Struthio camelus: one gene and its partners. The protein of the gene in region 4 purifies or fractionates together with the protein of the main gene of each other region. This does not show direct contact. Links are inferred from orthologs where the notes say so. Each region holds a gene or a part of one and is shown on either strand. Other genes may lie near its edges.

Region 1 (7,898 bases), on a different chromosome or scaffold from region 4:
ACACAGAAATTTCTCCTCCATTTCAGGACAGCCTTAACCCCATGCTGAGAAAGCCTCAGGACATTCTATCGCTTTGGGTTATATACAGTTTCTCATCACCCCTGTGACCTCAGCCCATCTCTAATCCCACTGTTTGGTTCCTTGGCAAGTTACTCCAGCGAGGCCACTGCCCATCCATCTGACTTTCCCATACAGCCTATGTTTCCACCATCCGTGTTCTTCCTAGGAATACATACAGATTAAATAACTCTGGCACAAGAATCAGCAGAGTCAGCAGGGTATTCTTCTGAGGATTCCTTCAACTTCTCAAGCCGCTCTCTACTGTGCAATGTTTTGATCTAACTCCAATTGCTCAGAGCTTCCTTCCTTCATGGGTTTACTCGAATACCTCGAGTTACCTATTGCTCTGAACTTAGCCCTCACCATCCATCTCCATCCCTCCTCACCACTCTACGTGTCTGGGGAGGTAAAGGGCTGCATTTAACATGAGGACCAATTAGATGCTAGCAATGTAGAGATCCATTAGTGGAGCGGAGATGGGGCTTACACATTTATTTGTAGCACTGGAAGCTCAGAGGTGAAGAGGCCTGCTCTTTTCAAGGAGAGTTCCACCATGAAATGAAGAGAGCTTGCTAAGATTAACACATGAACTTGAAAAAAACATGCCTGGCTAACACTTACATCGGTAGATGTCTCCCATCCTCCCAATGCACATAAGCAGAGAAAATTGCGCCTTTCAAAGCATCAGCATCCCCCCTGCCCCCGCAACAGATGAAGGGCATAAATCAAAGTGAGGGAAAGGGATTTTCTTGTTCCTATGGAAAGGGAAGGCCATGTAGACCCCGAGTCATAAAAGTGAGGAGACATGGATCCTATTCCAAAGGGTAAGAAACCCCAGTTTTCGATTTCTATTCGGGGTGCTGTGCTACAGAACCCTAAAAGGTAGCCACTTTTCTCCCTTTTGATCACACAGCCCATTGTTCAAGAATTAGGATTATGTCACTGCGTTGCCCTTCATCTTGCTCCTAAACAATGCTGATTTCTTTCAGAAAAGCTAAGCAGCACTAGAACCACACAAGTATTTTGGACTACTTTAAAATACTGTTTTTAAACAAGATGTCTTAGTTTCAGTGCAGAACTCCTGCAGGAGTTCCTCCGGAATGCAGCATGAACTTGCATTCTTGAGAAAAGGCTGGCATAGGGATAGGGATACTGCTGCTGTTCCGTGACCAGTCGTTTTGAAAGCCTGTCTGAAAAATCATTTTGATGAAGTCACGCTGCACACACGCATTACAATCTTTGACCCAGACTTAAATTCCAAAGTGAGATTTTTCAGCTGGCTCTTCAACACGACATACTCAAAGGGTGCCACAGCAGTAGAGAAATTCTGAGCAATCCAGGTCAGTTGGGGAACAGCTGGTCATCTGTGCAAAAAGAGGCTCCTAAAACGGTGGCTTTATTTCAGATTCTCTCTCACGAGCCTCCTGCTTAGATCGCCCTAAGTTTGGGCTGCCTAGTGAATGCTCCCAAAGGACAGGAATTTTCAAATAACCAAAGCAAGGCAGAAGCATCTGGAGCTCTTCCAATGATCAATCCTAAGTCTCACAAAGCTGCGCTCTACTATCAGCAATTTTTAAATTGATGAAAAACTCATAAATCCTTGCGACAGCACTCAGTGAATGAAGCTTTGCTAAATGGGATGAGAACGCTGTTCTTTGAGCAGGAATTAGCAAATTCCTTAGGTTTCATTTCACCGCAAGGCATTATCACAGAGCTGTTGAGCATCAGCTGGCTAAAGGGTTTTATTAATAAAAAAAAATTGTGGCAAATCAGACTATAAAACTGATTTATGGAGATCAAGATGCCCATGAGCGATGCCAAGTCACTCATGACATTGACATATCTCAGTTACTTGTACAATGGGAGACAGCAAGTCTTAATAAAGTCTCTAGCACTGCAACGATTACAGCCACATTACATACTTTAAAGACTGTTTAAAAAAAAACATTTAGAAACAGAATGGTAATAACTAGAGAGCTAAGCACTCTGCTCATCTGTAAATCGAATCCGAGTTCATCCTTCTTGTGCTGAGCACATCCCAGCTCTCCACTCCATGCACATTAAGCAGTAAGTGGCAGAAATTGCTTAACTTGTTCCAATTTTTAAGCTAACTACAGTGTCGTGAGGCAGCTGAGTCTACTTGATACAGCCACCAAATGCGGGTGCAGCAGCTGCACTGGAGAGATAGGGAGAAATCAGAGCCGCCAGGCGATTGGACAGTGGTGATGGGGAAGGAGAAGGCTAGTCTGGGCACAGAACAAAGACTGCCATTTCCATTCCCTATTTAGGCTCATCAAAAGCATGAAACAAGCTCTAATACGGATTTCCAGAGTAGAAATGCAAAGAGATCACAAATCACGCCTCGCAGGGGCTCCAGCAGACGCTACCTGGAAAACCCCAGTCTTCACCGTTCTCTCGGGTCCCCTCTTCCCCCAGGGACGAAAAGGGGGAACACGACCGTACCTTGCTTATCAAAAAGAAAGTTCTAGGTTTGTGCTTAATCCAGGCTAAGCACGGAGGAGGGGGAGGGCGCTAAACAGAGATTAAATAATAGAAATATCTCGGTAACCCCCCCACCACCGAGGGAGGCGGGGCGCATCTCACCCGGGGCCGCTCCCCGGGGGCCCTCGGCGCTCGCAGCCCCGGGCAGGGCGGCCAAGAGGGGTCAGCGGCGGCCGGGCCCCCCCCCCCGCCCTGCCCGCCGCCCCCCCGGCCGCGGTACCTGCCGTGAGGAGCTGCATGGCGTGCGTGAAGGACGGGTCGAGGCTGTCCTTCTCGGCCATCAACTCCGGCAGGTATTTGTTCTCGGGCTCCATCTTGACGGCGGCCCCCGGCAGCAGCGGGGTGGGGGCGGCGGCGGGGGCCTGGGCGGCCGAGGCGGCCGCTGTGGCGCTGGGCGGTAGGAGCGGCGGCGGCTGCGCCCCGGTGGCGGCGGCGCCTCGGCCCCCCCCACCTCCTCCTCCTCCTCCTCCGCCGCCACCTCCTCCTCCTCCTCCTCCGCGGGGCGGCCGCCGCGGGGGGGGCGCCCCTTGCCGGGCGCCGCCGGGGCCCGGCCCCCGGCCCAGGCGGGCGGCGGGGTCGTCACGGCGCTGCATGCGGGCGGCGGGGGGCGGCGGCGGGCGCGGAGCGGGCCGAGCGCGGCGCTGCCACACCGTCCGCCGCGGCGCCACGGCCGGAAGTGAGGGGCCGGAAGGACCGCCCCCCCCTTCTGCCGCTCTCTCCCTCCCTCCCTCTCCCTCTCTCTCACTCCCCCCCCCCGCACTTCCCCGCCCCCCCCCACTCCGCCGCAGCTCCCGCGCGACCACCCCGCGCGCCTCTGCGCCTGCGCCGGCACGCAGCCGCGCGCCACCCCCCTCCCCACCCCGCCCCGCCCCGCCGCGCTCCTCACGGCCCGCCCCCTGGGCCGCGCGTGCGCCGCCCGCCGCCCGCGGGAACGAGGCGCGCTCTTGGGACGCATGCGCAGTGCCGGGCCCGCGAAAGCGGAAAGCGACACGTGGGGAGCGACGGCCGCCCCGCTGCCCTGACTGCGCATGCGCAGATGCAGCGGTGTGACATTAGTCACCAGCTGCCGAGAAACTTATCCCGCAGGGGATTCACAGCGCCTGCGTGTATGTGTGTATATGTGTGTGTGTGTGTGGGGGGGGGGAAGGTCTGTGTTGCGCATGCGCAGTGGCTGCCCGCTCGAGAACAAAGCGGCTGGCGCGCATGCGCCCTGTGGCTGTGCGTCTCTGTGGAGATAGGCGTGAGGTGCGAGGCGTGTCGTAGGCCCTGGGGTGGCGGAGGGGCTCCGGCCCGGGCTGCGGCCCGAGAGTGACGGCGGGGCAGTGCCTTGGGCAGCGCAAAGTGCCTGGGCCTCGGTGGGCGTGGTGAGCGGGGCACAGCCTGCTTTGGGAGTTGGGTCCTTGGCCTACCTGCCCCTGCAGCCGTGTGCTGTGGTATGAGGCCTCAGCAGTGCCTGTGTGGGAGCTGAGCCTTCCCCTGCCTGCCTGGGGCCTTGGCAGCACCTGTGTGGGAGCTGAGCCTTCCCCTGCCTGCCCCTGTGGCCCTGTGCTGCAGTATGGGGCCTTGGCAGCACCTGTGTGGGAGCTGAGCTTTCCCCTGCCTGCCCTCATGGCCCTGTGCTGTGGTACGGGGCCTCAGCAGTGCCTGTGTGGGAGCTGAGCCTTCCCCTGCCTGCCCTCATGGCCCTGTGCTGCCGTACGGGGCCTCGGCAGGGCCCATATGGGAGCTGAGCCCCTGGCCTACCCATCCTGGTAGCCCTGTGCTGGGCTTGAAGAGAGTACTTGCCTCCTTCATGGGAGCTGGTTGTTGTCGTGCAGGGCTGGAGAGGGAGTAAAAGCTCTCGTATGAACTAGCATTGTCAGAAGTTTAGAAACTCCAGTTAGAGTTGCTGGGGTGGAGTTAATGAGGAAAGGATTATCTGTACCATCCTGAAACCCAGCAAAGAAGAACTGAACGCTTTTTTTTTCCAGTCAGGATGATCACACGTGTGAAGGCCCCTTGGGTGCAGAGATTCTGTTGCTGTGGTTTTTTGGAGGCAGCTTTTACTTAACTAGCATGCAGGACCTATCTCAGGCGCTGCAACCCCTTAAGTTAGTATCAGATGTGGCTTTTGTTTATTAATAGATTGACATTCATAGCTCAAGAACATAGCAGGAAGACTTACCAGCTTTTACAATTCTTGAAATTACACATCTACTTCAGCCTGTTAAGGAAGCATGGCAAACTCATTTTATCTCTGGCTGTCTTGTGATAGATCACTCTCTGCAGCAGCCTTCTCTGTACGTTGTTGGAGCTGATGTGCGTGGACAGACGTAGCCTCCGACATCATCAGGTAACACAGCCTGAATCTCGTTCTGTCTCTCTTGCCTCCAGGGTGCTGTTTCGGAACAGCTCCACTGAACCTGTGCAACCCTGTCACTTTGTAGTGAATGGCTGTGCAGCTTGTGAACATAAAGCCCTGCCTGTGTAAGGGAGCTGCCGCCACTGACGGCTTTAGAGCAGTGTGGGTCCCTGCCATGTGCAGGTGCAGATCTCGGTGCCTGTTCTGTTCCTTCCTTCTCAGTTCTCTTTCACATATTGTCTCTTTTTCTTCATCCCAGTTGTACATCTTTATGTCATTCTTATAAATTTTCAACAAGATTCTCTTTCCCTGCCTGCCTTCCCTGTCCCATCCAAACACACAGCTGCCAGCTGCTTCGCTTGTAAATGCCATGGGACCTTCCGAGAGCTGGGATGTGTTAGCTCTGCTCCTGGTAAAGGGCTGTCATCACCCCAGGGCTTCCACCTGCTGCCTCAGTCAGGCTCCCAGAGCACGTGTAGCTCACATCTTCCTATGACCAGCCCCTTTGCTATGCTGGTGCTGCTATGGAAGGCAGCTGTCATTAGCTGTTTACATTTGACCCGTTCCTCCAAGAACTTTGGGAGTGAGGGGGAGGAGAAAGGTGCATTTGGCTCCTTTAGAGTTTTAATTTTTAGAGGAAGGTTGCCTGATGGGGCCCTGGACTTGGAATCAGGAGATCTGGGACCAGTTTCCAGCTCTGCTGAGGCTTCCTGAGTGAAGCTGGACACTTTGCGTAACCATTCAGTTCCCCATCTGTAAATTTAAGTTACTTCTACCTTCTTTCTCTTCTACTTGGATTGTCCAAATCTGCTCAGGGTGCCCAGGGGCTGAGACATTCCTTCCTTACAGGGAAGGAGAATGGGGAATAGAACAGAGATGGGTCTAGTTTGGGCCTGAGTGCATGGCCACCCCTGCTCTGTCTTCCGCGTGTCTGTTCTCCTGTGGGTATCTTAGGAGAGCAGCTGATAAAAGCTTATGTGGATGTGATTGCTTCTGCAGTTATTCCCTGCTGCTGAGATGACAGGGTCGTTAATCAGCTAGGTCTTTGAGAGAATGCCTTTGTTTTGCTGCAGAAGAGGAAGAGGCCCGGCGGGCCTGGAGCTCTAGACATTGTGCATTATGCAAATGGGTGTGCGTCACGGAGCCACCGATGTGTGCTCAGGCGAGGGGCCCTGAGGAGGGTTTGCTGCTGGAGCTGAGAACAGAAGAACTCTTGTTCCAGCTCTCGCTGGTGCCACTTCCAGTGCAGCCGCCCACTTGTTCAGCTGGACCAGAGGCAGCAGTGATGCCAGCGGGAATGGGCTGCCTCTCCTGTGTCTGTCCTTTGCTCCAGCATTTTTATCTCAGCTGGCAGGAAAGGAAGTGTTAGTCCCTGGCTCCAAATGAAGGTACTTCTTGTTACAGTGGATTAATAAATGCTAGCTAGCCTCTGAGACGCTAACCCTGCTATTCTTAGGGAGCTTTACGAGCCTCGGTGATTTCCATCCCATGGCTAAATATTTCCGCCTCCTGGGAGATTGGAGCAGTCCCAGGCCCAGCCCTGTGCGATGTCCTGATGCCCTCTAGTGGGGTCTGGCACGCCATTGGGGCAGGCTGCTGCAGGCCCAGGGTCCCCTTGCAGCCACGCTCTATCAACAGGGCACTTTTAGGGGAGAAAACGTCACCCTCTGCTCAGGAAAATCTAGCTTCTTGCCTGGCAACACAGCCCTTCTCTGCGCTCGGCAGTGCATCTTGACTAAGGGGTTCTCTGTGCTGGCCCTGTGTAGCATTTTGTTACCCTGTCTAGGACTGGCGTGTTTTGAATGGTCTTTCTGACTCTCAGCAGGCTGATGACAGGCACAGAAAGTGTTTTCCTGGCAGGATGAGGAAGCCAGGCCTCACCTGGGGAAGGAGGTGCTGAAGCCCTGTTGCACAAACACTGCGCACAGAAGCCATGTACTACTACATGGAGTCACACGCGCACTGATAAAACTGCATGATGTCAGGAAGGGTTAAGCTCAGGGTATGATGCAGCCTGGTGCCGTCTGGTTAGTACCAGACGGGGTGTCACCTTTGGTTACTTAATGCCACGTGGCCGGGACAGGCCCTCGCCAAGTGCAAGGCTTCCTGCTCTGGATGGCTCCAAGCCAGGCGCAGAGCCCAGGCTGTGAGAAGGGTCAGGATCCTGCTCAGACCAAACTCTGAGTCACTGGTATCCGGCGCTCCACCCGCCCGCAGGGAAGCGGATCAATGGGTCATTCATTGATTTTTGTTTCACCGTGTGCAGGGTCAGGGCTGCCCTGGCCATGTGAACCTGCTCCTGGCTCCCGGCTGTGCCGCCCTGCCCCGGGCGCCCCGAGCAAGCTGGGCATCTGCTCGCCTTCCTGGGTCACTTTGTTCTTTCATGTTTCTGCCCTACTCGAGCGGTGCTGCGGTGTCAACGGAGAACACAGACGCCGCCGTCTGGATTGCGCTTCGCAGACAAAATGCAAAGCGGGCACATGCCTGTGGACGTCTGTTGGGCAACCTCACCCCGGGGACGACATCGGCAGCCCCGACCAAAGCCTGGCGACGGGGACACGGCTTCAGATCCTGCCTTTGTCCCGCCGCCCTTAAACGTCCCTAGCAGCACGGGAACGCTCCATTTGAAAAAAGAGACAGAAACGCTTATGTCTCTCCAGGCGATTGTTCTGGGTTGCCCGCAGTCCAGAAACGGTGACGTTTGCAGGGTTTTTGCCATAAGCTCCCCTCCCTCCTACTCTCCCCCCAAAAATAACGAAACGGAGTCGCTCTTCGCTGACCGGCACAAACCCGGCGGCCGCTCCTCCCCGGCGGCAGCTCCCGGCCGCTGCGCGTTGGGTACTTCCGTGCCGCGGCGGCGGAGGCGGCCTGCCGGGCCCCGAGGGGCGGCGGAAGCGGAAGCCGTGGGAACCGCCGGGGGGGGCAACCATTGCGGCTGGGTGGGGGGAGCGGGCTGTACCATTGCGCGGCGGCGGGGGGGGAGGGTGCTGGCGTG
Region 2 (6,931 bases), on a different chromosome or scaffold from region 4:
ATCCTCATCAACCTTTGAATACTCTTCAGGAACAGTGCTTCTTATTGCAGGTACAATTTTATAGGTATCGACAGAAATCACCTTGCAGGCATCTTTATATCTATCTTGAATAGCCTGGGCCAGAGTGGACTTTCCACTGCCAGGCAGGCCTCTTAAAATAAAAAAGGTTTTAGATTCTTTAACTGTGGAGATGGTATCATCATCATCAAGGAATGGGTACTGCAAGCTTTCAGGCCTTTCTTTGGCTGACTGAGTAGACATTTTTCTAAATATCTTAGGCAGGAACGTGTGACTCTTCTTTGAAAAGCCTCTGTTCTGAAATTCAATAAGAAAATATTTTGTAGGCTAGCAATCCTGAGAGACAGCGTATTTCTACTACGCAACAGCAGACCTTTAGGGGGAGGGAGGAGGGCTGTGCTCGGAGGGTCGTGAACAGCTCTGGGAACACGTCTGTGCCACCTCGGCTGCCCTGCTTGGCTCACACCAGTCTCACAGCTGCCACCACGGGTCCCGCAGGAGGCACCGTGTTGTCCTGCCGCCTTCCTGACACGGGGGCAAGAGGAGGAGGAGCGGAGGGGCAGCCCCGCTCACCCTTCTGGCTCAGGCCTTCACTGGCCACCGGTGGCAGCCACAGTACCATCTGACATGGAAGTGCAAGTTTTACTGTCACGTGGTAGCAGCAGGCGCCCGTGAGCCCCCGCAAAGCTGAAGCCCAGACAGAGCAGTTGAAGGGTCAAATTTATTTCAGGACATTTAAACCAACGCTTGCGGCTGCTCGTTTACAAAGAGACTGCATGCCATGGGGAACTTGTCCTGAAAAGGGGAAACGAATGTCCTGGGAGGTGTGACAGCTGCTCAAGTTTCATTGATTAATCCAAATAAAGACTACAAACGGATTTAAGCCGGTTTAGGAATTCTCCAGTCACGTAGGAAAGGCTGTTTCAGAGTAAAGCCTGCAAGGAGACTACATCATGTTAAGAATCGCCTTCCCTTTGCGCCTGGACGCTACACTGAACAGCAGCACCCTTATGCCTCAGAAGGGGGAATTTTGGGCTGGTCTCGTACAGAACTTATATTGCTTCAGGCAAAAGCAAACCTGCTCTTAGCATTTCCTGAACTGAAAGTTAAACCCATCCTCTCAGCAACAAAACAAATGCTTGAGCTTGACACCACCAAGCAAGACAGGAAAAGCACCAACCGAGAGCTGGCACTGTTCCTCCTTCCCCTTTTGCCACCAGATGCAATAACTGGTATCTAAGAGTAATTCTCAGCAGGACCTAGGAAAATCAGAGATTTGATGAAAACAAGGAATTTGTCTAAGGTTCTGGTAATGCCAATAGGGACAACCATCTTTTTGGTTAATACATGAACTCTCCAACTTCTCTCCCCAGCTGCATCCTTGCCACAAACCAGTCTCGACTCTGCTGCCTGCCACAACCTCCTGTTATTGAGACACGAGCTCTGTACCAGCAGTCAAGAAACCACAGATGCGATACTGAAAGAGCAGTATTTGCCACTGACCCAAAAATCTAGGGGATTTACATACTACATAAATATTCTGCTCGTGGCAGAAGAATACTGCTTGACTGCAGGGTGAGGACATTGTAGGAAAACCAACTATTTCAACTGATTAACTTCTCTTTCTACCCTTCATTCTAGAATTTGGAGCTGGGTTTTTGGTTTCGAAGCAGCCTGGGACAAGGACTGTGCACCAGCATTGTTTTCATGTTCGCTGTGCAGCAAGTCAGGCCTCTTGTGGGGGGATGACAAGCTCCAAGCACAGTCCTTGGAGCAGCAATCTCCCCGCTCGAGACTGGTGCGGAATTCCTGCCCCAGGAACGGGATCCAAGAAAAACAAGGAGCGTGCATCTCTGTTGGGACACCTACACTGGCTTCCCTGAGGGCTCGGGGTTCCCAAGTCATCATACAAGAGGACAAGTACTTTGGCTTCCTCCGATGCCTGTGGACGAGTGCAAGAAAAACAGACGCCGTGAGACGTCCCAGGAAACTGCTCATCCTCCAAGTGTAAGTGTTATGTTTTCGAAGAGGTTAGGGGCCTTTGGCCTGAGCGGGGGAGTAGGAGGAGTATCTTGACTTGCTGTTGCTGTGGCCGGAGGGCGAGGCGGCTACGTGTGCCCAGCACAGGGCTTGGCCTGTGACTGTGGCAGTCAAACTATTTTGCTGAAAGCAGCTGCTGGTGAGCAGCAGTAACTGAGGCTGCTTTTCAGATGCATAAACAAAAGAACAATAATAGAAAACACCCTCAGGACCCATTGTTTAGCAGCCAGCTTTAAATATAATGCTCGCCTTTATGAAAGGGGGCCGCGTACAGCGCGGCCGGACAATGGCACTACAGAGGCCGGGCTCGGGGGAGCGCGGGGCTCCGCCGGGCGAACAATCCCCGATTCAGCGCGACCCCCTCGCCCGTCCGCGACCCCACAAAGCTCCCGCTTGTCCCGGGCTCCCTCCCGGGGGAAGCTCCAGGCTCTGCCGCGCCGGCCCCGGCCGGGAGGCACACGGGGGCCGGGGTACGGCTTGAAGGTGGCACCGGGCCGGGCGAGGAACCGCTGCGGCCCCCGGGGCTCCGAGTTACCCCTCGGGCGCCGCCGGTACCGTGCGCGCCCCGGTGCCCCGAATTACCCCCGATACCCTCCCGACGCCGCCGCTACCGTGCGCGCCCCGGCGCCCCGAGTTCCCCCCCCCCCCGGCCACCGCCGCCGCTACCGTGCGCGCCCCGAGTTACCCCCGGGCTCCGCCGGTACCGTGCGCTCCGCGGTGCCCGGCTCCGCCCCGCCCGCTTCCACCCCGCCGGGACCCGGAACCAGAACCGAAACCGAAAGCGGTGCGGCAGGAGCTGCCGCCCGGCCCCGGCCCCGGCGCTCACCATGGTGAGGGCAGCGGCTCCGGGCGGCCGCCGGTGCGGAGCGGCGCGGCGCGGCGGGGAAGCGGCTCTGGGGCGGCGGCGGCCGCGGCCCCTTTCATAGCGCGGCGCCCCCCCGCCCCGCGGCACCGCCCGGCGGCTGCGCAGGGGCGGAGCAGCCGCGCCTGGAGCCCGCCGAGCTCCCTGCTCCGGGGGACGCGGGGCCGGCAGCGAGCTGCGTCCGTGCCGGGGGCTGCCAGCAGACGTGGGCACGCTGCGGGGGCCGAGCGCGACGCGAACGTCTGCAGACTCCTGGACTGAGCCGCTGTCCAGACGCAGCAAAGGGGAGAGCTCTCGCTTGTAAAACCAACATCGCAGCACAACATTTAATTCTACTGCCTAACTCCTCAGGAAGCGCTACTCTACTCGGATGCAGAGTAGTGCTGATTTTCATCATCTTCTCTTTCCCCTGTACTCGTCTCTTCTTTTTCTCCTTCGTTGCTCTTGCTCTCCTCATTTTCTTGTTTCCTTCCCTCTTCTCTATCGTTTCCATGCTCCTCTTCGCTGTTCGTGGCATCTTCCTTTTGCTTTTCGTTTGTCTGATTCTCTATGCTTTGTTCACTTTCCTCACTTTCCTCTCTCTCTGTGTTCTTGGAGTTGTCTTCTGTGTATTCACTGCTGTAATCATCATCTGCGGGGGGGGGGGGGGGGGGGGGGGAAGAAAGCAATTTTAAACCAAGTTCCAGCACTGAGCAATCAATAGGGTACAAAAAAAAAAAGAAGAAAGGCTCCTGGCCTCCTTCACCACAGTCGGAAAACTCTTCTCTTTGTTTTCTGTCTCACAAGACTCCGTCTACCGATGGTGTAAGAAGCTAAGCTGCATGATCTAAAGTGAACAGAAACCAGGGACTGGCAGGTACATCGGTCTGAATTAATCAACTGTAACAAAATGAACATACGGTGAATATGTTGGTAACAGAGGGCCCTGAGGAAGGTGTTGCTAGAAAAGTGATGGTCAGAGATGGAAGGCTTGGACTTTCCCTTGATCGTTCAAAATTGCAGCATTTGACCCAGAAAAGTTTAACGTGATTAGCCCTGAGCCCTGGATGTCTGGGGCATGTATGTATTAAGCAGTACACACTGCTCCAGGGCTATCCGTCACTGCATGCAGGTGCTCCTACTGCTCAGTAGGTGTGAGGGAGTTTGCTCTGTTCCGACCGAGGAGGAAGCTTTCCTACGCTTGCAGTGCAAGAAGCACTGTGCTGTGCACAAACTTTATTCCCTGCGCGCGCAAAGAGGAAACGTGAGAAACGCTGCCATCTCCTGCTCAGAATTGATAGAGCCCTTAGATGAGCATGGTGCTACTTGGAAGCAGAGTTCCAAGACTTCAGTTTGTCCCCTCAGTCAGGGGCTTCAACCCAGATAACCAGGAGGATGCTACAACTACAAGGAGTAAGGCCTGCTCCCTTCTTTTTTGCAGCCCTGCCAGTTGAGGCTGAAAGGATACTGCTTGCATTAAGTTGCACTCGGGGCGGGGGGCTACATGTGTTGAGATGAGGAACTGTTTGTCCTGTACCTGTAGATAGCTTATGCTGTCATGCTTCGTGCTGCAGATGCTTGGTAGTACGTATCGTTGTTTAGATGGTGGGAGAAAACTGCATACATCTATATTATGTGGATTTTAAAATCCAGCTGAGGTTTTTGAAGGCCTCAGCACTGTGAATCTCCCTCCTTCACAGTCACTTTTACAGTCACATTTTGACGCTATTTTGCTTCTGACTAGGCCCACCGTTATGCACTCTGGGCACTGGAGCTGCTTTCAATGTTTTTAGAAACAGCTTTTTATACAGATGGCACTGAAGAGTGAAATTAAGCTCCTTCACTATTATTAGTTTAGTTAGCAAGGCTTCACTTGAATGAGATTTACTCTAGGTTATACCAAAATATCAATATTAAACCCTCACTGCCAAAAAACTAAAGCCACAAGTTTTCGCTAGGTTATGGCTTCACATATCAAATAATCCCTGCTACAGTGTACCGGTACAGAGGATGCATGCAGTCCAGAAATTTGGATGTCAGCTATCTGGCAATGGAGCAGTTGCTTTATTGCTGCTCAGAGTAAAAAGCCTGTTCTCTGGACAGCACAGTAACATGCCAAGTCCTCATCTGTATTTTCACTGCAAGAGCACCATGCTGAAAGCAGTAGTTTTATGATGCACAGAAAATTAAAGGAACCTGAGCTGGTTGGACCTCAGGCCCTGAGACACTGACTGCAGCAAATCTGGGTGACAGATATGCAGTCCTTTTACTGAAGGTAGTAGGTGCTTTGCTTCCAACGTCTCAGTCTGTCCCCCAGAAAAGGGAAGTGAGGAATTTTTAAATGTACGTGGTGCAGAGGTCTAGATAATAGCTACCTTTAGGAGAATCAGCTGTCGTTTCTCTTTCTCCTTCTTTCAGCTCTTTGATGAAGCTTTTGCTCACGTCATCTAAGGCCTGAAAGTGATATGGCTTGTTAATAAGGGCTTTAGAAATACAGCTACAGATCTGTCCAAGTTTGTTTTCTTTTGATTTCTACTATCGTTACTTGCTCCTTCACTACCTTAAAACTCTCTGCAACAATATGCTTCACTTATCCCCTGCAAAGGTTGTTAATATCTCTTAGTATCCCTTATCAAATGTCTCCTCCCCTGAAAGTTCTCTCTCACACACACTATCATTTTTCTTCATGCAGGAGAGTAGGTTCTGCTTGAGCTTCGGACACCCATGAGGCATCCCCAAACAGGTAGGTGTTTATGCTGTAACTGTGCTGTCTTGTGATTTAGATGCCTGGTGAGCCCAGTGCTGTGTGACCTGGTCAGGAAGATCACATGCAACTCACTGGCAGACCAAGGAAGACAGACTGCTGTAACAGACAGACTGTTTTATGCCTGGGACAATGGCTGTGCCCTAGATGTTCTTCCATGGTCTGATGCAAAGTGGTTTCTCTGGGATGCCTTGGAGAGGCCAGAAAAAGGTGAGTTGTCGTCAACCCTACGTTCCAGCTGTTAGCAACTGAATGCAGAGGAGACACCACTGTATACTCAGTGTGAAACCCTTGCCCCAAGCAGGTCAAAAGAAAAATTTCCCTTGACCCAAACAGGGCCAGGACTTCACCCCTCGGTATGTTGTACTGGTTCACAAACAGAGATTAAGTTTTCCAAGCCAGAAGACTTCATATCTTTCATTATGTAAACTACTTCAGAGACAGTATTGTCCCCCTTTTAATGCTGTAACTGTCTAGTGACAATTTCTCTGTCCTCATGACATTAGAACGATAGTTATAGCTAACTTATTAGTTCTGCCCCAAGCTTCTCTCCTCTTTGCAACATGCCACTTACAATAATGATGGCCTGTTGAGCATCATCATTGTGAATAAGCTTTGCCTTCTCAAGTGCTTTTTCAAAGTTGAGGATTGCAGCCTGGTAATCCTTTAATTTTACTGTAACCAACAAACAAAAACATCTATTTTAAACTAAGATCGCAAACAGGAGAAAAACAACTGGTTAGTTAGGCAAATCTACCATGAAAAGTTTTATCTGAACAGTTACTTTAGTTGTTAAATCCCAGAAATGTTCCCATTAAGATGGTGAATATAGAGGTACCAACTTCTTTACCTTGTGCTTGTGCCACCAGTACACCAGCATTGAGTTGCCACTCAACATCTCCCTCCTCATCTGCTGAATGCAGGGACTTCTCTCCGTAATTTTGGGCTTCTTCAGCTTTGTTCAGCTCAAGGTAACATCGGCCAAGTTCATGGAACAACCAGGTCTTCTCCAGGCTGGATTTTGCCATTGGAATCTTCTCCTCCCAACTTCAAGCAGAGAGTAAGAGAGAGAGACTTTTACTGAATTTCACTAAGTGCTGTTATAATTTCAACCGCTGGTTCTATAAACAAAGGGTTCCAGATGCTGCTATTATGAAAAGTTATTCTACGTTGAGATCTGCTACGTATTTAGAAAAAGACCAAGCAATAAAATCTGGAGAACTCCAGACTGATGATGGGTTTTAAAGCCATTGCTATCTGTATTGCTA
Region 3 (7,497 bases), on a different chromosome or scaffold from region 4:
ATTACTTCCTTGTCAGTGTGGACAAAGGGGAGATGATAGCCATCAGAAGCATGCAACTTCAAACAAAAAGATGATTCTCAGAAGAAAAGGACCCTTGGAATTTATTCAGACGGGTGATGGGTGGGCTCACACCAAACACTAATGGAAAACAAAAAGAAAAAAGAAGAAAAAAGAGGAACATTCCCCCTTGTTATTTGCAAACATGCCAGTGACATAAATTCACAATAACATAAGGCATATCAAGAACTGAAAAATTTAATAGGCATTAATTTCATAAAACAAGCAAAATCAGGAATTAATTTGGACAAATTTAAAGACCCACAAAGCATGAAAGCGTGGTCTACAGAGGAGAAAAGAAAACTATTCCCTGTCACCAGGACTCCAGTTTTCCCTACTACTAAATTTTTCTTAATATGTAACTTTTTTTTTTTTAAATAAGCACAGGTTTTAAGATTTGGAGCATACCTCCTGTGTTTCAGACTCTTCCTTTATAAATCAGATAACGTTCTCAACATTAGCATTTTGTAACCGTCTAAGCCTCTTTCAAAGCTATTTCCAGAAAAAAAGGAGAAAAAAGAAATAAATTTAGTCAATAACACGTGTAAATCTTGAATAGCTGGCAGATCAAAGCTTGCAAATGCTATCACCTCACTGACTGGAACCAAAATTAAAAGTTCACTGTAATTTCTGCAGGAATAGAGATTGCCCAACAGCTTAAGGAAATACACTGCTTACTTGCAATAGAAAATACTTCCAACAGAAAAAAAGGAGAGGAAAAAAAAGTGTTTGGGAAGTCACAAGCGCCATTGAAAAGGGCAGCTAGACTACTCTGGGCAGCAACTCGAGTTATTGCCTTTCCTCCATCAACTTCACTAGCGAAGACGCACAGTGCAGTTTTAATTTCTGTGTTTTCAGTTAATAACTGCACTTATACCGACTGGAAAGAACTGGAATATGTATATTACTTGTAGTAGCATAAGTAGTACTAGTAGTGCGAGGACAATAGTGCTTGTAAGTTGCAAAAGGAGAAGGAATTTTAAATAGAGTTAGGGGAGGAAAAGCAAAAAGAGAATACTGGCAGCAAGCACTTCGTGGGGGATTGTAAATCAGCACAATCAGACACACAGAAACACAAACTACTTCACTTAGCCCTACCAGCAGGAGCATACTTTCTTCAGCACAGATTTCGGAGAACTCTACGCCAAATGTGCTGCCCTATACTAAGGAACAAACTACAGCCGTTGTGGCGAAGATTTATTCTGCGCTCGCTGGTGACGCTGAGAGCTGGAAACCGCACTCAGCAGGAGGGGGAACGCGTTTTGTAAGTCAGGACAATCGCTGGAGAATAATTTTGCCCTTTACTGGATTGGCGCTTTCGCTCTCGAGGGCGTTGAGGACCCCCGCCGCGCTTGACCGACGACCAGCTTGCTGCGCGCCCCGCCTGCTCCTAACGACAGCGCCGCGGGCCAGCACGGCCGGGGCGGGCCGGCCTCCCCACCCGGCGCCGCCACAGCGAGGGGGCGGCTCACAGCCCTGCCCCGGGGCCTCAGGGGCGCCGCCGTGTCTCACCTCAGTACCGCGCTCTGCGCAGGGGCCGCCCGCCTCCGCGGACGCGTCCGGCCCCGCGCCCGCGCCACGAGAGGGGCTGCTCCCCCCGCCCCGACGGGACACGGCGCGGGCGGCCGGCCGGCCGTTACCTCAGCTCCGTTCCGGCGCGGGGGCGGCGGCCGTTGGGGGCGGCGGCCGTTGGGGGCGGCCCGAGGGACGCTGCTGCGGCACCGCTGGGGGGGAGGGGGGGACACCTCGGCCCGCAGGACGGCGGGGGGGGGGGGGGGGGGAAGCGCCGGGCGCCGAGCTCCCTTCGCGGGCGGGAGGGCAGAAGCGGGAGGGGGAAAGTGCCGGTGCGGGCCCGCTCTCACGTGAGCCACGCTCAGGGCCTGTGCAGACGGCTTAAAAAAAAAAAACGGATGATTAAAGAAAGCAGCCGCCCGAAGATGAAGATGAGATGTCCTTACTGGGAAACAAGCTGGCTGTAGGGCCTGAAGTTCTGCACGCATACTGACTTCAGTCCTGAAAACACAGAGCAGTTGTCTTCTCAACTTGGCTAGTTGACAAAAACCCGGTTTAAACGTTTTCTGGGACCTTTAAACATCCGTCCGCATCACATAAGGATGCAGTTTGGTGGGATTTGTCACATATCAGACCATCTGAAGCAAAGTGGGACCTTCTGCCAGCTCTGCTGCAAGGTAAAGGCAAAAAGCAGGGTAAAATACCCTGACTTACCTTGGCTGCCAGCATGGTGTGATTACAGCGTACGGCCTCACCCGTGCAAACACTCGTGTAAACGCTTACCCCAAAGGGCACGGGCTTCAGTCACTGTATTTAAAGTGGTAAAGTTAGGTACTGGCGTGCATGAGCAGAATCAAACTTTGTGCTCAGGTAAACCAGGTCACCAGCCTCTCTAGGCAGTTCTAAATACTGAAGTAACCACACAGCAGGAGATTTTCAAACAGAAGCAAGTCTTTGGAGGGAAAAGAAGCATCTCCCTAAAGACCAGAGGCATTACACTGAAAAAAGAAATAGAGGGTTATCTACTGCCTTTTGCCCACCTCTTTCCCCAGCTTTTTCCCAGGCCTCCGGCGGCAAGCGCTTACCCAGGCGCCACCGGTACACAGCGAACGAGCCTCGCTCGCTTTCTGCTAGTCAAGACCGGGTAAACCCTCACGCGCTGGTGGCAGCAAGGGGCAGCTACCTGCCGTACGTCTTCCGCGGGAGATGCATACAGAGAAACCGCGTGGGTGGTGGCGGTGGTGGTGTGGCTGCGTGCGTGCGTGTCTGCACACGCGCCGCTTGGCCCAGCGGCTACCGCGTGGGGCAGGTGCCCCGCGGCGGCCGCGCACCCAGCTCGACACGCCTCCCCGCCCCTCGCGAGCGGCGCTCTTCCTACCTGGCGCGCCAGCTCCGCTGCTCCGCCTATCCCCGCCCTTTGGGGCCATACGGGACGCAGGCTAGAGCGCCCCCCTTCCTGAGGCGGCCGGAAGTGGCGTATGCGGAAGGAGCGGGGAGGCTCGGGTTCCGCATAGAGAGCGCCTCGCCCGTGCCGTTAGGAGTAGCCGGTAACCGCCCAGCGCGGCCGCGGCCGCCCCTGCGCCATGTTGCGCGGCCTAGGCAGTTGGCTGGGCCTGGAGCGGGCAGCCGAGGAGAAGTTGCTGCCGGCCGAGGAGGGGAGCCGGAGCAACCCCGCGGATGCGGGCACGGGCGAGGAGCCGGCCGCGCGGAGCCAGGAGCAGGTGGAGCTGCAGGCGGACTCGGACCCGCTCCTCAGCCAGGCCAAGGGACTCGGCAGTGAGTGTCCTGCCTATGCCGCCGCCGGCGGGGGGGCGAGCCGGGAGGAGGCGGCCTGGGCCTGGCACCGGCCGAGGCGCCGCTGCGCCTGACCGAAAAGCGCCCCTCCCAACACACCTCTCGGTGCGACCCCAGCCGGTCGTGTGCCCGCGCCGTACGCCGGGCCGGCCTGCGAGGTGGCGGAGAGATGGGGCGCTCCAGGTGGTGCTTCCCACCCGCCGTACACACACAGCGTTGTTCACTGTAAGGCTTGAGTAAAGGAATAGTTTCCCTTTTCTTCGAGGGGGAGATGGAGGGGTGTCGTGGCTTTGCTCACCTACCCTGGGGAGTGGTGTTAGTGTTTAAAAAAAAAAGTGATTTTAAAGCAATAAAACTATCTTTGTACGGTGACATTAACACAGAGCAGCAACTGCAGGAGCAAAGGTAGGCTAGTTTAGGGCATTTTTAGGGGTTTCAGCAGAAATTAGAAATAGTTATCACTTTCACTTAGAGCAAAGCTCTAACTGAGCTAAGTAGGAACAAATTGGTTTTAAATTGAATTAAGCATGTTTATTCTCAGTTCAGCAAAGTAAAAAGAAAAATCTCTTTTTCATCTAGATGACTACAACTCTTATGTAGCTTGCTTAGTGATGTGAAAGGGGGAATACAAGCTTATAAGATAACGAGAATACTCCTTTTCAAAAAAAAAAAAAAAAAAGAGAGAGAGAGAAGCATATCTTTCCAGATGTAAACAGTAATTCACATCACCTTAGCTAGTCTGTAAAGTGCTCTCAGCGAAGAATGTGTTAAAAGCCATTCTTCTCTACCCTTTTGTTGTCTGATGTTCCCGTATAGGTTCCCATTTTGTATGTTTTTAAAACCATATTTGTTAACGGGGGTCTATGGCATACATCACTACTATGCATTTCACAAGTTAGAGTTTATCCTACAGTCTACTCCACAATTATGAAACAGTCCCCTGCAACTGATAAAGCTGGAAGTTTGAAAGTGTGCTGGATCTCATAGAGTCCAAAAAACAAAGTTATGGTTAGAGATTCCTTTTAAATAACAATAGCTGACAGCAAGAAGTGTTTAAGTGAGTTGCTAACAATTCTGTGCGCTGTTGAAGGATGTTGCCACACTGGAAATGAAAAATCATTTTAGAAATTGTTGTATGTTTGAAATAGGCATTAAGACATTGACTGCAAACAGTTCAGTTATTATCTTTCTTAGAAAAGTTGTTAAATGAGCAGTATTTCTTTAGGTATCTGTTATTCTGGTCTGACTATGGGAAAAGTGATGTGAGCATGCAGAATAATATACTTTGAAGTGTTGTGGGTTTTGCATGATTTTTTGTGTAGAAATACTTTAACTTTTGTTAAACTCATCTGTGATGAGACAGGGCTGTAATTAGATGTAAATAAGTATTCTGTTTTACGGTAGTAGGTTCTGAGATAAAATTCATACAAAGTGGAACACTATTATTGAAGTGTTTGTTGCTGGTGCTCTGAACTGCTGAATTGGTATCTCTAGAAAGCTTATTCTGAAATGGTTCCTGAAGGTAGTTTGCCTTGGACTTTCTGAGCAGCAGCAGATTATCTGCGTAAGTTGGTCACAGATGTTTGTCTATTTAGTATTGTAAGTAGATCCTAATCCAGTGCTCACCTTGACTGCTGAGGAGGGAAAAAAGACTGAATTTTCAGGGGAAGAACAAGTATTGACTGTCATGCATTTAGATGTCCATCCCATAACAGTAAACACAGTAATCTGTAAATGATATGACTCCTTCAGATTCAATTTCTGAGAATTAATTTGCTCTGGGAGTAAGAATTTGATCTAGTGATCCATGGATTTGGCATGTCTGTGTCCGTCCATGTCTGTGACGCAAGAAGATTGTGGTAGAAAGGTCTTCTTTTTAACAGCAGTTAGACATTACTGTTCTAAGACATGATAACTCTTGAGCCATCTCTATGGTTAACAAGCAGCATAATTGTGTGGACAGATTTCCCTAGCTCATAAAGAATTCTACCAGTAAAACTGAAATCTTACACATACTGTTTGTATGCTCGTTACCGTGTTATTACAAAAGGTAGCATTGCCAGCCTAGCATCATCTATGGTTGGAGAGTTTGCCAATATGAACTAAAAACAGAAATATTTCTTGTCAAATACTCTTAATACAGACGTAGTTTTGGAAGTGGGAGGTAGGGGAAGTATTGTTTTTGCACCACTGGTTCACTAGGCCTAGTACTGCTTCCTGTTCAGGCTTTATAAGTACTTTAGCATAAGAAGAACACCTGTCCTTAATAGAAAGAAAAAACATTTTCTGTTCAGATTAGTTTCAGTTCTAGCCATAAGACCGGCCAAAACCACTTTGCTCAACTATACCAAAAAGTTGCTGTGTTGTAGCGTAAGATACATCACCTGTGACAACAAATGTTTCAGGATCTTTTGCATCCGAAACAATTGTATACAAGAAAGCTCCCAGGGATGCATAAAGCAACAAATAAAAGTTGGGGGGAAATGATGCAGTAGGCTGCTGCCTCCTCTACTTTCGTAAAGAGTGTACTCTGCGTGTGTGTGTATATACAAAGTGTAAGATAGGTATTTTTATATGCAATATGAAGCTTGTGATGTGATGTAAAGCCTGATAAACCGAAGATGTTAGCAAGTACTGGGAGGAATTTTGATTGTCACTATTCTGTGACTTACGAGGGGAAGTTACATTTAGAAAACTGGTTTTCTTAAGGACTGGCTAGACCTCTGCATTTTTCAGAACAACTTTGGCCGTATCATTAAGAAAGAATAGTTTATAAGCCACGAAGAACAGCAGCCAGCTTTGCAAAAAGTAACGTGACTACTCCAAAGCAATCCGTTCTGTTAGTCGTTGACAGCTGTGTGTGTTAAAACAACTCAGGTTTTTTTCAGATGCTAAGGTTATTTTTTACATTTCTAACCTTTAATGCAACTCAAATTTTTGGGAGGTCCTGAAAAGGAAGATACGTGTTTTCTTCCCTCCTGCCTCGCCCCAAGCAAGTGCTGTCTGTTTTTAAGTCCCCTATGTAAAAGTTATTTTTTTAGAATAACTGAAAGATCCTTGCTATCCCACATGCTTTGCATTCTTTCTTATGCCTGAAATATGCCTTTGATAGTTACCATACAGCTCAAAAACACCATTATATCTTTCTACAAGCCTAAATTACAGGCACTTACTGAGATTGTATATACTGTAATTATGAAATCAGACATAGTACATCAGTTTAGTATAGTGCTTATGATGTTGTGTAACGATCCGTGAAATAAACTAATTAAATATTGTTTTAAGGTACTTTGTCAATAAATTGGTATTTACTGTTTTTGAAGGTTAATGATTTACATTTTAATGATTGCCTTCTCAGTATGTTCTGACCTCTTAGTTAAAAAATAACAATACAGGACAACTGTTTGTGCTATATGGTTCTTTTCTTGACACCTTTCTTCAGTTCAGCGCAGCTGGTATAAAAAACAATAGTTAGAGTTTTAGAAAGTATTTGTTACTGCTGTTTTGACGCCATTCAGAAAAATCAAGAGCCACGTTATTTCTAATGAAGTTAAGAAAGACAATGCAAAATAGAAAAGGGGCAACATCAAAAGCAATCTTCTACCTTAAGACTTCTGAAGAGATTTGAAGTCTTACCTACCAGAAATTTTTTATGCGTTTGTTGACTCATTCACTTCACGAGACTTTATTGTGCATGTTGATTTTCTTAATTTAAAAAAAAACTGTTTTCCTCATGTTGGTAAAGCTACTGCATTGTTTAATGTCTGAATATTACTTAAATAATTGAAGTTATGAAAGATATTGCTTCAGAAAATTGATTGGAGAGCAGCATTTCAAGGACTATTAGGAATGTTTGGTTTAGTAAACAAGTTTAAGACATGATAGTTTATGGTTTACAGACGCTTTTGATCAAACGTACAGTTACATAACTAAAGAACAAGAACTAGAAACGGATGAACAAGATTTTAGGAGTTCTTTGTAGACAAGAAGACAGGAAGCTAGGTTAAACAATTCTGAAAGAAAACTTCAAGTAGGTATCCAAACATAGAAAGATAAAAGAAATCTAGCAAGAGAATTGGATGTAAAGAGATGTTTTTCAGCTCTTTCTCTTCTCATCTGTAAAAGGTTACCTCT
Region 4 (7,845 bases):
ACACCCTGAGGACCCCCAGGCCCACAGTGGCCCCATGGCCTCCTCAGGGACCCCCCCCCCAGCCCCATGGTGGCCTGAGGCATCTCCACAACCCCATGGTAGCCCATGGGATCCCCCAGCTCCATGGTGGCCCCAAGGACTCTCCCAGCCCCACGGTGGCCACCGGGACCCCCCTAACCCCACGGCGACCCCCTCCTGCAACTCACCCCCGGCTTGAAGGAAGGCAGCCCCAGCCCCACGCCGATGGTGGCCTTGTTGGGGTTCACCACGGAGTTGTAGTGGATGTTACGGTGGTAGCTCACCCGGATCGGTTCGTCCTCGTTGTGCTGGATCCCGTGGAAGGTGTTGATGGGCTCTGTGGGACCCCCACGTCAGCACCCCAGGGACCCCCACGGACACCGGGGACCTCACCACCACCCCGTGGACCCTGGTGTCCACATCCTGCTCCTCCACCACCCCATGGCCATATCACTCACCAGTGCCGTACTGGTAGACCTCCACGGGGCGGTTGTACATCTCGGCCATGGCCTGCATCTCAATGTGGTTGCCGTGGCAGGTGCTCTTGCGCTTGCGGTTGATGTAGGTGGTGAAGTCCTCCGTCACGTAGTTGGAAAAGTAGTCGGCGTTCTTCATCTGTGCGGGCCACCAGCGCTGGGCCACGCCACCACGGGGACTGCCACCGCCAGGACCCCCCCCAGAGGGGACAGAGGGGACACCAGGGTGGCAGGGGACAACTAGGGATGCCGAGGACCCCAGGGCAGCCCTGGGGACACTGGGGAGCACAGGGGGACCCTGGGGACATGAGGACAGCCCCAAGGTGGCACGGAACAACTGGGGGGACTGAGGGGACCCCAGGGGGACACAGTCTGGCAAGGGACACCAGGGAACACAGGGGGACCCCAGGGGGATCCAGCCTGGCAGAGGACATGGGGGACCCCAGTGGACACGTGGGAATGCCAGGGGGACAGGGCCTGGCAGGGGTGGGGACAGCAACACAGGGCCACTCACCAGGTAGTCCATACAGTGCTTGCGCACCACCTCGTGCATGTCCTGGTCTCCGTACACCTGGTCGGCTGCAGGTGGGGGACAGCGCGACAGCAACGGGGCGCGGGGTCAGTGCCTGCGCCCGGATGCCTGGGTCCCTGCCCCGGGCGCCTGGGGCGGGCGAACGTGCAGGGGAGGCAGCGCGGGATGGGCACAGGGTGTGACGCGAGGTGACACAGGAGAGATGCAGGACAGATGTGGGGTGACACAGGACGGCTGCAGGACGGCCGCGGGGTGACACAGGACGGCCACAGGGTGACACGGAACAGCATTGGGATGACTGTGGGGTGACACGGGATGGCAGTGGGGTGACACGGGACAGCGGTGGCTCACCCACGGCCCGGAAGAGGCAGGCGCCATCCTCCTTCATGCGCTTAATGATGAAGCCTTTCTTCTCGCGCAGTGCCTTCTCGAACCGGTGCTCCTGCTGGAGACAGAGCTGGGCTCAGCCGGGGCCCCAGCATCCGGGCAGGACCCCCCACCCCACCAGCAGCCTGCACCATGCCAGGGCACGCGGGACAGAGACCAGCCCCCACGGGACACAAGTAACACGAGGACGCATGTGACATGAGGCCACGTCCCTGCACAACACAACCCTGTACGTGCACATGCAACACAAGGACGCAACCCTGTGTGACATGAGGCCGCATCTAACAAGGCCTCACATGTGACATAAGGGCAAGGCCCTGCATGACATGAAGACACGCGCAACAGGGACATGCTTCTTCCACATCATGCAATGACACACGTGGCAGCAGCCCTCGACCAGACACACACACACACAACACGGCCAGGACACGGGTGACAGGCACACGTGACATAATGTACCCACCCTTGCACAGTCCCCTGTGGGACATGGTGACATGCATGTGACAGCGCCACCCTCCCTGCACAATGGGACGGCACATGCGTGACAGTGACCAGCCCCTGTGGGACGCAGGGACAGGCAGGGGGGCCCGGGGGCCCTCCTATGACAGACGGGACAGTGCCAGCACCCTGTGTCACATGCATGTAGAAGTGCCACCTCCCCGGGCCATACAGGGATGCATGTGGCACCCCCAGCTCCTGTGTCACACAGGGACACACACGGCAGCACAGACATGTGGTGGTGCCAGCCCCATGTGTCACACAGAAACACACATGACACTGTCAGCCCATACCACACACATGTGCCAGCATCAGGCCCCACATGTCCCACAGGGACATGTGCAACCCCCCAACCCATGACACCTGCGTGGCACCATCAGGCCCCACATGTCACATGGGGACACACATGACACCACCAGCCCGTGTCACACACGTGTGGCACCATCAGGCCCCACATGTCACACGGGGACTCGCGCGACCCCCCCAACTCCGCGCCACCCCCACGATGCAAGGGGGCAAAACCAGGCCAGCCGGTGCCCCCCAGTGTCCCCCGCGTCCCCCCCGGTGGCGGCACCTGCTCGGCCGTGGCCGGGTCCAGCTCCACCCGCGCCGCCTCGTACTCATCCTCGCTGTTGTAGCCGCCACCGCCGGCCTCATCCGGGCCGGGGCTGCCGCCGCCGCCGCTGGGCCCGGGCCCGGGCCCGGGGCCGCCGCGCCGCCGCCGCTTGCTGAGCCCGGGGCCGCCGCCCGCCGCCACCACGGCCGCCGCCATGACGCCGCGCGCCTCGGCCCCCTCCAGCCCCAGCAGCCCTCCGGGGCCGCCGTCGCCGCCGCCGTTCCCGGAGCCGGCGGCGGCGGCAGCGGGCGGCGGCGGCGGCGAGGCGCCGGCGGCCGCCCAGCCCCGCAGCGGCGGCGGCGGCGAGGCCCGAGGTCGGGGGCCGCCGCCGCCGCCGCCGCCCTCCGCGTTGGGACCGCCGCCGCCGCCGCTAGGCCCCGGCTCCGGGTGCGAATCGGGGCCGGCGTCCGGATCGGCGTCGGGGGCCGGGCACGGCTTCTTCTTGGGCAGGATCGTCATGGCGGCGGCCGCATGGACCCCCCCGGCGCCCCCCCGCCCGCCCCGTTACCGGCCGCCGCCGCCGCCCGGTGCAGGCCGCGGGGCGGCCGCGCGCTGCGCCGCCTCAGGGGCTTTTTGATCCTCGGCGGCGCCCGTACTGCGGCCAGCACCCCCACCCCTCCCCTACCCTCGCCTCCGCCGCCGCCGCGAGGGCCCCGGCCTGGTGTCAACATCAACAGAGCCGCCCTCTGACCCCGCCGCCGCGCGCGCTCGCTTCCGCCCCGCGCGCCGCGCCCATTGGGCGCCGCCGCACACGCCGCGTCGCCATTGGCTACAGCGCTCGGGGGGAAGTCCCGCCCCCTCGGCACCTCCTCGCTCCGCCTGCCCGGCCCCGGCCCCGCCTCGCAGGAGGAGGAGGGACGGGCCCGGCGTCGCCGTGGCGACGGCGCGCGCGCGCGGAAGGCACCGCCATTGGCTGGCGGCCGTGCGGCGCGCGGATTGGTGGGGCGAGAAGGGGGGCCGGGCCAAGGCGTGCCCACCCCCTCCGCCGCCTTGCGATTGGCTGCTCCCCGCGGGGGCGGGCCCGCCTCCCCCTCGTCGGCTCCGCTTCCTGGCCCCGCCTCCGCCGCGCCTATTGGCTGCGGCCGCGACCTAATTTCCCATTGGATGGCAGCTGCAGGAGGCGGGACGATGCCGCAGTGGCCCTACCCCTAACTCCGCCCCGCGGCTGTCAATCACTCCCCAGGGGCCACCCCTTCCCTCCCCCTCCCTACCAGCTGAGCCCCCTCCCCCTAAAAGGGACCCAGGCGTCTGGGGAACCCCCCCACTCCCGTGACCTAGGCGTCAGGGCACCCCTGCCAAACACAACACGCTATCTCGGCTCCAATTTCCACCTTCATTTATTAAAATCGTGTCTGAAAAGGAAAAGGGGGGGGGGGGAGACCCCCAGCACCCCTCCCCCATGCCCTGAGAGAACCCAGGCATCCGAGTCGCCCCCTCCAAGAGGGGAGCTAGGCACCCAGGCAGCGGGACCCAGGTGTCCGGGTGCGCTCCATGCCGTCGCTGGTGCTCCGCAGAGAGGATCCCATCGGCTACGGTGCAGGTGGGCCAGCCCCGAGGAGGGAGGGGGCCCAGGCGTCCGGGGCTCAGTGGCCCTTGTGGCGGGGGCGGTCGAGGGTGCGCTGGGCAGTGCCCAGGTGGCGCCAGGCATCGGCGATGAGGGCACCAGGCACCAGCACCCAGATCCCGTTGAGCCCCACGAAGTAGCCCCAAAAGTAGTAGGGCCGGGGGTCGGCATGCACCCAGCCCGCCCGCGCCGCCGTGGCGAAGTACAGCACGTCGCCGTACAGCTGCCCTGTGCGGCGGAACCCAGGCGTTTGAGCGTTTCCCCACACCCCTAGCAGCCCCCACCCCATGGCTCACCACCCCTCTGGGGATGGAAGAAGGACCCAGGCATCTAGGCTGCCCCCACCCCTCCCCCCAACACGTGACTCCACCCAGGGGTCTAGGAAGGACCCAGGTGTCCAGGCCCACCCTCCTAGGATCCAGGCATCCGGGTTGCCCCACCCACATGGGCCTCACTCACTAGGAGGGACCCAGTAGTCCCCAGGGACCCAGGTGACCCCCCCACCCCATGTGACCCCACTCCACCCCAAGACCCTACCCAGGGGACCCAGGCGTCCGGGCTTACCAAGGGAGACGACGAGCTGCAGCACAAAGCGGGCAGGGTGGCGCCGCAGGAAGGCGAGGAAGGTGAGGAAGCTGAGGGGGCCCCAAGCCCAGGCTGTCACCGTCTCCATGGCAACCGTGAAGTCATCGCTCCTGCAGGGGGTGGGAAGAGATGGGGGTCAGCACCCGGACACCTGGGCCCCTCACACCACCCCCCACAGCAGCACCCCGACTCACGTCATGTAGCGGCTGTCGGCCTTAGCATACTCCTTCCCTGTGGGCAACATGGGATTAACAGGGGGCCCAGATATTGGGGGGGGTGGGGACCAGGAATCCAGGGGTAGGACACCCTTCCCCACATAACCCACCCCCCCAAGGGACACAGGTGTCCAAGGGGCATCCAGGGGACCCATGAGTCTGGATAGATCCCCTTCCCCCACATAACCCACCCCCTCAGGGACCCGGGCATCCGGGGACCCCTCCCCTCCTCCACACAGCCCCCCAAAGGAACCAGGCATTTGGGAAGCCAACCGGGACCCAGGTGTCCGGGGGACCCTTCCCCTCCACCACACAGCCCCCCATGGAGCCCAGGTGTTCGGGGGACAACCCCCAGCCCCATATACCCTCCCTCAAGGGACCTAGGCGCCCCCCCCGCAAGGGCCCAGGCGTCCCGCAGCGACTCACAGACGGCGGCGAGCGGCCCGGTGGCGGCGGGCAGGTCGCCGTGGCGGAGGCTGAACCAGCCCTCCAGTATCCCGTGCACCCCCGCGCACAGCAGGAACCAGCCCAGCACCAGCCGGCGGGCGGGGCTCAACGGGGCCCCGCCTCGGGGCCCGCCCCGGGCCCCGCCCAGCGCCCAGCCCAGCGCCATCAGCCCGGCGCAGCCCGCCGCCACCGCGCCTGCGCACTGCCACCCGGGCCGCGCGCTCGGCACGTAGCCCGGCAACAACAGCTCCCGCGGCCAATAGGGGTGCGCCGGCGTCGCCATGGCAACGTTGGGGCGGGGCGCTGCGCTGCGGGAGTGGGGAAGGACCGGCGTGAGGCGGCGTGGCCCCTCCCCCATCTCCGTTATCCCCTCCACAGCCCCCGCTCGGCCCCGTTAATCCCCGTAGCGGCCTCCCCACCCCAGTTAGGCCCCACCAGCCGCCGTTAACCCCCTCCGGCCCCCCCAGCCCCGTTAGCCGCGCCTTAGCCGCCCCCCCAGCCCCGTTAACCCCTCCGTAGCACCCCCGGCCCCGCAGACCCCTTCCCGGCCCCGCCCGGCAGACCCCGCCCCCGCCCGGTAACCCGGCCCGGTAACGCGCCCCCCGCCCCGCGCTATCGCTCACCTCAGGAGCGCGGCAGCTCTCCCGCGCGGCGCGGCCCCGCCGCCTCGGGCCCTGCCGCCGCCCCGCCCCCGCTCCGCCGCGCCGGCCAATGGGCAGCGGCGGCGCCAAGGCCGCGCCCGGCCAATGGGGGCGCGCCGCACCTCCCCCGCCCTCCCCCGCGCCCCGCGCTGATTGGCGGAGGGGGCGGGTGAGGCGATGTGGGGCCAGGGGCAGGGGCGGGGACGGGGCCGGCGCCCATATATGGAGGGGGGGCTCCCGGAGGCGGTGGTGCGGGGCTTTAAGCCGAGGGGCGTGGCTTCCGCGCTGTTCAGGACCCGCCCCTTGGCCCTGAGGCCCCGCCCCCAGCGCACTCCGGGGGGCGGGGCCTCCTGTGCAGCACTGATGACATCACAGGGGCCGCGGTGACATCAGTGCCGCGGCCCGCACCGCGCCGATAACGTCAGCGGCAGGCAGGCTTCTGACGTCAGAACCGGGTACGGGAAGAGCAAGCCCAGGTGATGATGTCACTGCCCCAGAGGGGGGAATCCCTCCTGGCATCATGGCTGTGGGGGCGGGGCCTAGTCAATGACATCACAAAGGGGCAGGGCCCAAGTGATGATGTCAGAGAGGGGTGCAGCTCCCAGGTGATGATGTCATCACCCTGCCAAATTCAGCCCCCCACCCTGCAAACGGGGTTTCTGCCCCAAATTGGATTTATTTCCTCCAATTGTTGTTTCCCTCCCCAAGTCAGTTTTCTCCAAACCAGGTTCTCTCCCCCCAAATCATTTTCTTTCCACTAAGCCGGTTTGCTCCCAAAACGGGTGGTTTTCAGCCCCATTTCATGACTGGGGCAGCAGGGCTGCGGCACCTCCCCTTTCCCCTCCAAAATCCATGACGTTTTCCCCCAAAACCTCACTTCAGCCATTTTTTCCCCCAAGAAGGCAACAGAGCCAGTAGCAGTGCTCCCCCAGCCTCAAATTGGTGGCGCTTCCCCCCCAAGCCCCACTTTTGGCCATTTTTCCCCCAAGAAGGCACCGGAGGCAGGTGGCAGGTCCCTCGTGTATTGTACAAACCCCCTGTACAGCCCCCAATTCCCCTTGTTTCCCCCCAAAACACCCCAGGTTTGGGTCACCCTCTGCCCCGGATCACACAAGGGTGCCGGGGGGTTGCGGGGCCGCCCCGGGGGGGTCCCCTGGGGGCCTGGGGGGAAATGGGGGGAAAAGGGCAAAAAAGGGAAATGTAGAAGGAGGGAAAGGGGGGGAAAGGGGGGAAAGAGGGGGAAAAGGGAAAAAGTAGGAGAAAAAGGGAGGAAAATGGAGAAAAAAGGAAAACAAAAAAGAGAAAACCAAAAAAGGAAACATAGGAAAAAAGGAAAACCAGAAAGAAACAAGGAAAAGGAAAGGAAAGGTAAAAAGGGGAAAACAAAGAGAACAAAAAAGGGGAAAATAGAGGAAAAAAAGCAAAAAAAAAAGGAAAAAAATTGAATGAAAGTCAAAGAAAAAAAATGAAAAAAAAAAGCAAAATACCCAAAAAAGAAGACACAAAAAGTGACTCAATTAAAGAAATAAGAAAAAAAAACAAGAAACAAAAACAGAACAAGAGAAGAAAAAGCAAAACAAAAACGAGTGGAAAAAACAGAAAAGTCCAAAAAAAGGAATAACAAAGAAAAAAAGAGAGAGAAAAAAAGAGAACAGGGTTAGGCCCCCCCCGGAAAGCAGCGCCTGCCCGGACGCCTGGGCCCCTCCCATCCCCCACCTTGGGGCTCCCCGGACACCTGGGCTCCCTGAAAACAACAAAAAAGCAAAGAACAAACAAAAAAAAAAGAGGGAAGAAAGACCTAAAAGGAGCTGGGGACCCCAAAATGGGGGGAAGCCCCCAAATTGGGGCAATTGGAGGGTTTCAGAG

Evidence for each region.
Region 1: the proteins of OTUD5 (region 4) and KHDRBS1 purify together in Homo sapiens (affinity purification with mass spectrometry, with the first as the bait; 3 studies listed by BioGRID). This does not show direct contact. The link is inferred for Struthio camelus from reciprocal best matches to the Homo sapiens genes OTUD5 and KHDRBS1.
Region 2: the proteins of OTUD5 (region 4) and CNP purify together in Homo sapiens (affinity purification with mass spectrometry; 3 studies listed by BioGRID, with this or other methods). This does not show direct contact. The link is inferred for Struthio camelus from reciprocal best matches to the Homo sapiens genes OTUD5 and CNP.
Region 3: the proteins of OTUD5 (region 4) and CTPS2 purify together in Homo sapiens (affinity purification with mass spectrometry; 3 studies listed by BioGRID and IntAct, with this or other methods). This does not show direct contact. The link is inferred for Struthio camelus from reciprocal best matches to the Homo sapiens genes OTUD5 and CTPS2.

Annotation. Positions count from the first base shown.
Region 1 is NC_090964.1:8,675,234-8,683,131, forward strand, and holds the start of KHDRBS1 (KH domain-containing, RNA-binding, signal transduction-associated protein 1), read right to left. Parts: upstream 3,012-7,898; 5' UTR 2,877-3,011; coding exon 2,783-2,876; intron 1-2,782. UniProt on the Homo sapiens protein: Recruited and tyrosine phosphorylated by several receptor systems, for example the T-cell, leptin and insulin receptors. Once phosphorylated, functions as an adapter protein in signal transduction cascades by binding to SH2 and SH3 domain-containing proteins.
Region 2 is NC_090966.1:7,413,466-7,420,396, reverse strand, and holds the start of CNP (2',3'-cyclic-nucleotide 3'-phosphodiesterase), read right to left. Parts: upstream 3,007-6,931; 5' UTR 2,888-3,006; coding exon 2,885-2,887; intron 2,878-2,884; exon of another isoform or gene 2,744-2,877; intron 316-2,743; coding exon 1-315. Other genes in the region: ODAD4 (outer dynein arm-docking complex subunit 4), read right to left, coding at 3,283-3,551, 5,275-5,353, 6,238-6,338, 6,514-6,710. UniProt on the Homo sapiens protein: Catalyzes the formation of 2'-nucleotide products from 2',3'-cyclic substrates. May participate in RNA metabolism in the myelinating cell, CNP is the third most abundant protein in central nervous system myelin.
Region 3 is NC_090942.1:138,824,678-138,832,174, reverse strand, and holds the start of CTPS2 (CTP synthase 2), read right to left. Parts: upstream 3,004-7,497; 5' UTR 2,948-3,003; exon of another isoform or gene 2,782-2,947; coding exon of another isoform or gene 2,753-2,781; exon of another isoform or gene 2,610-2,752; intron 2,568-2,609; 5' UTR 2,284-2,567; intron 2,240-2,283; exon of another isoform or gene 1,570-2,239; intron 550-1,569; 5' UTR 466-549; intron 139-465; 5' UTR 53-138; coding exon 6-52; exon of another isoform or gene 1-5. Other genes in the region: SYAP1 (synapse-associated protein 1), read left to right, coding at 3,153-3,345, 7,489-7,497. UniProt on the Homo sapiens protein: Catalyzes the ATP-dependent amination of UTP to CTP with either L-glutamine or ammonia as the source of nitrogen. Constitutes the rate-limiting enzyme in the synthesis of cytosine nucleotides.
Region 4 is NC_090979.1:307,322-315,166, forward strand, and holds the start of OTUD5 (OTU domain-containing protein 5), read right to left. Parts: upstream 3,002-7,845; 5' UTR 2,987-3,001; coding exon 2,486-2,986; intron 1,472-2,485; coding exon 1,378-1,471; intron 1,074-1,377; coding exon 1,009-1,073; intron 634-1,008; coding exon 477-633; intron 356-476; coding exon 207-355; intron 1-206. Other genes in the region: EBP (3-beta-hydroxysteroid-Delta(8),Delta(7)-isomerase), read right to left, coding at 4,111-4,319, 4,656-4,786, 4,871-4,907, 5,318-5,621; CCDC120 (coiled-coil domain-containing protein 120), read right to left, coding at 6,425-6,518. UniProt on the Homo sapiens protein: Deubiquitinating enzyme that functions as a negative regulator of the innate immune system. Has peptidase activity towards 'Lys-48'- and 'Lys-63'-linked polyubiquitin chains. Can also cleave 'Lys-11'-linked ubiquitin chains (in vitro).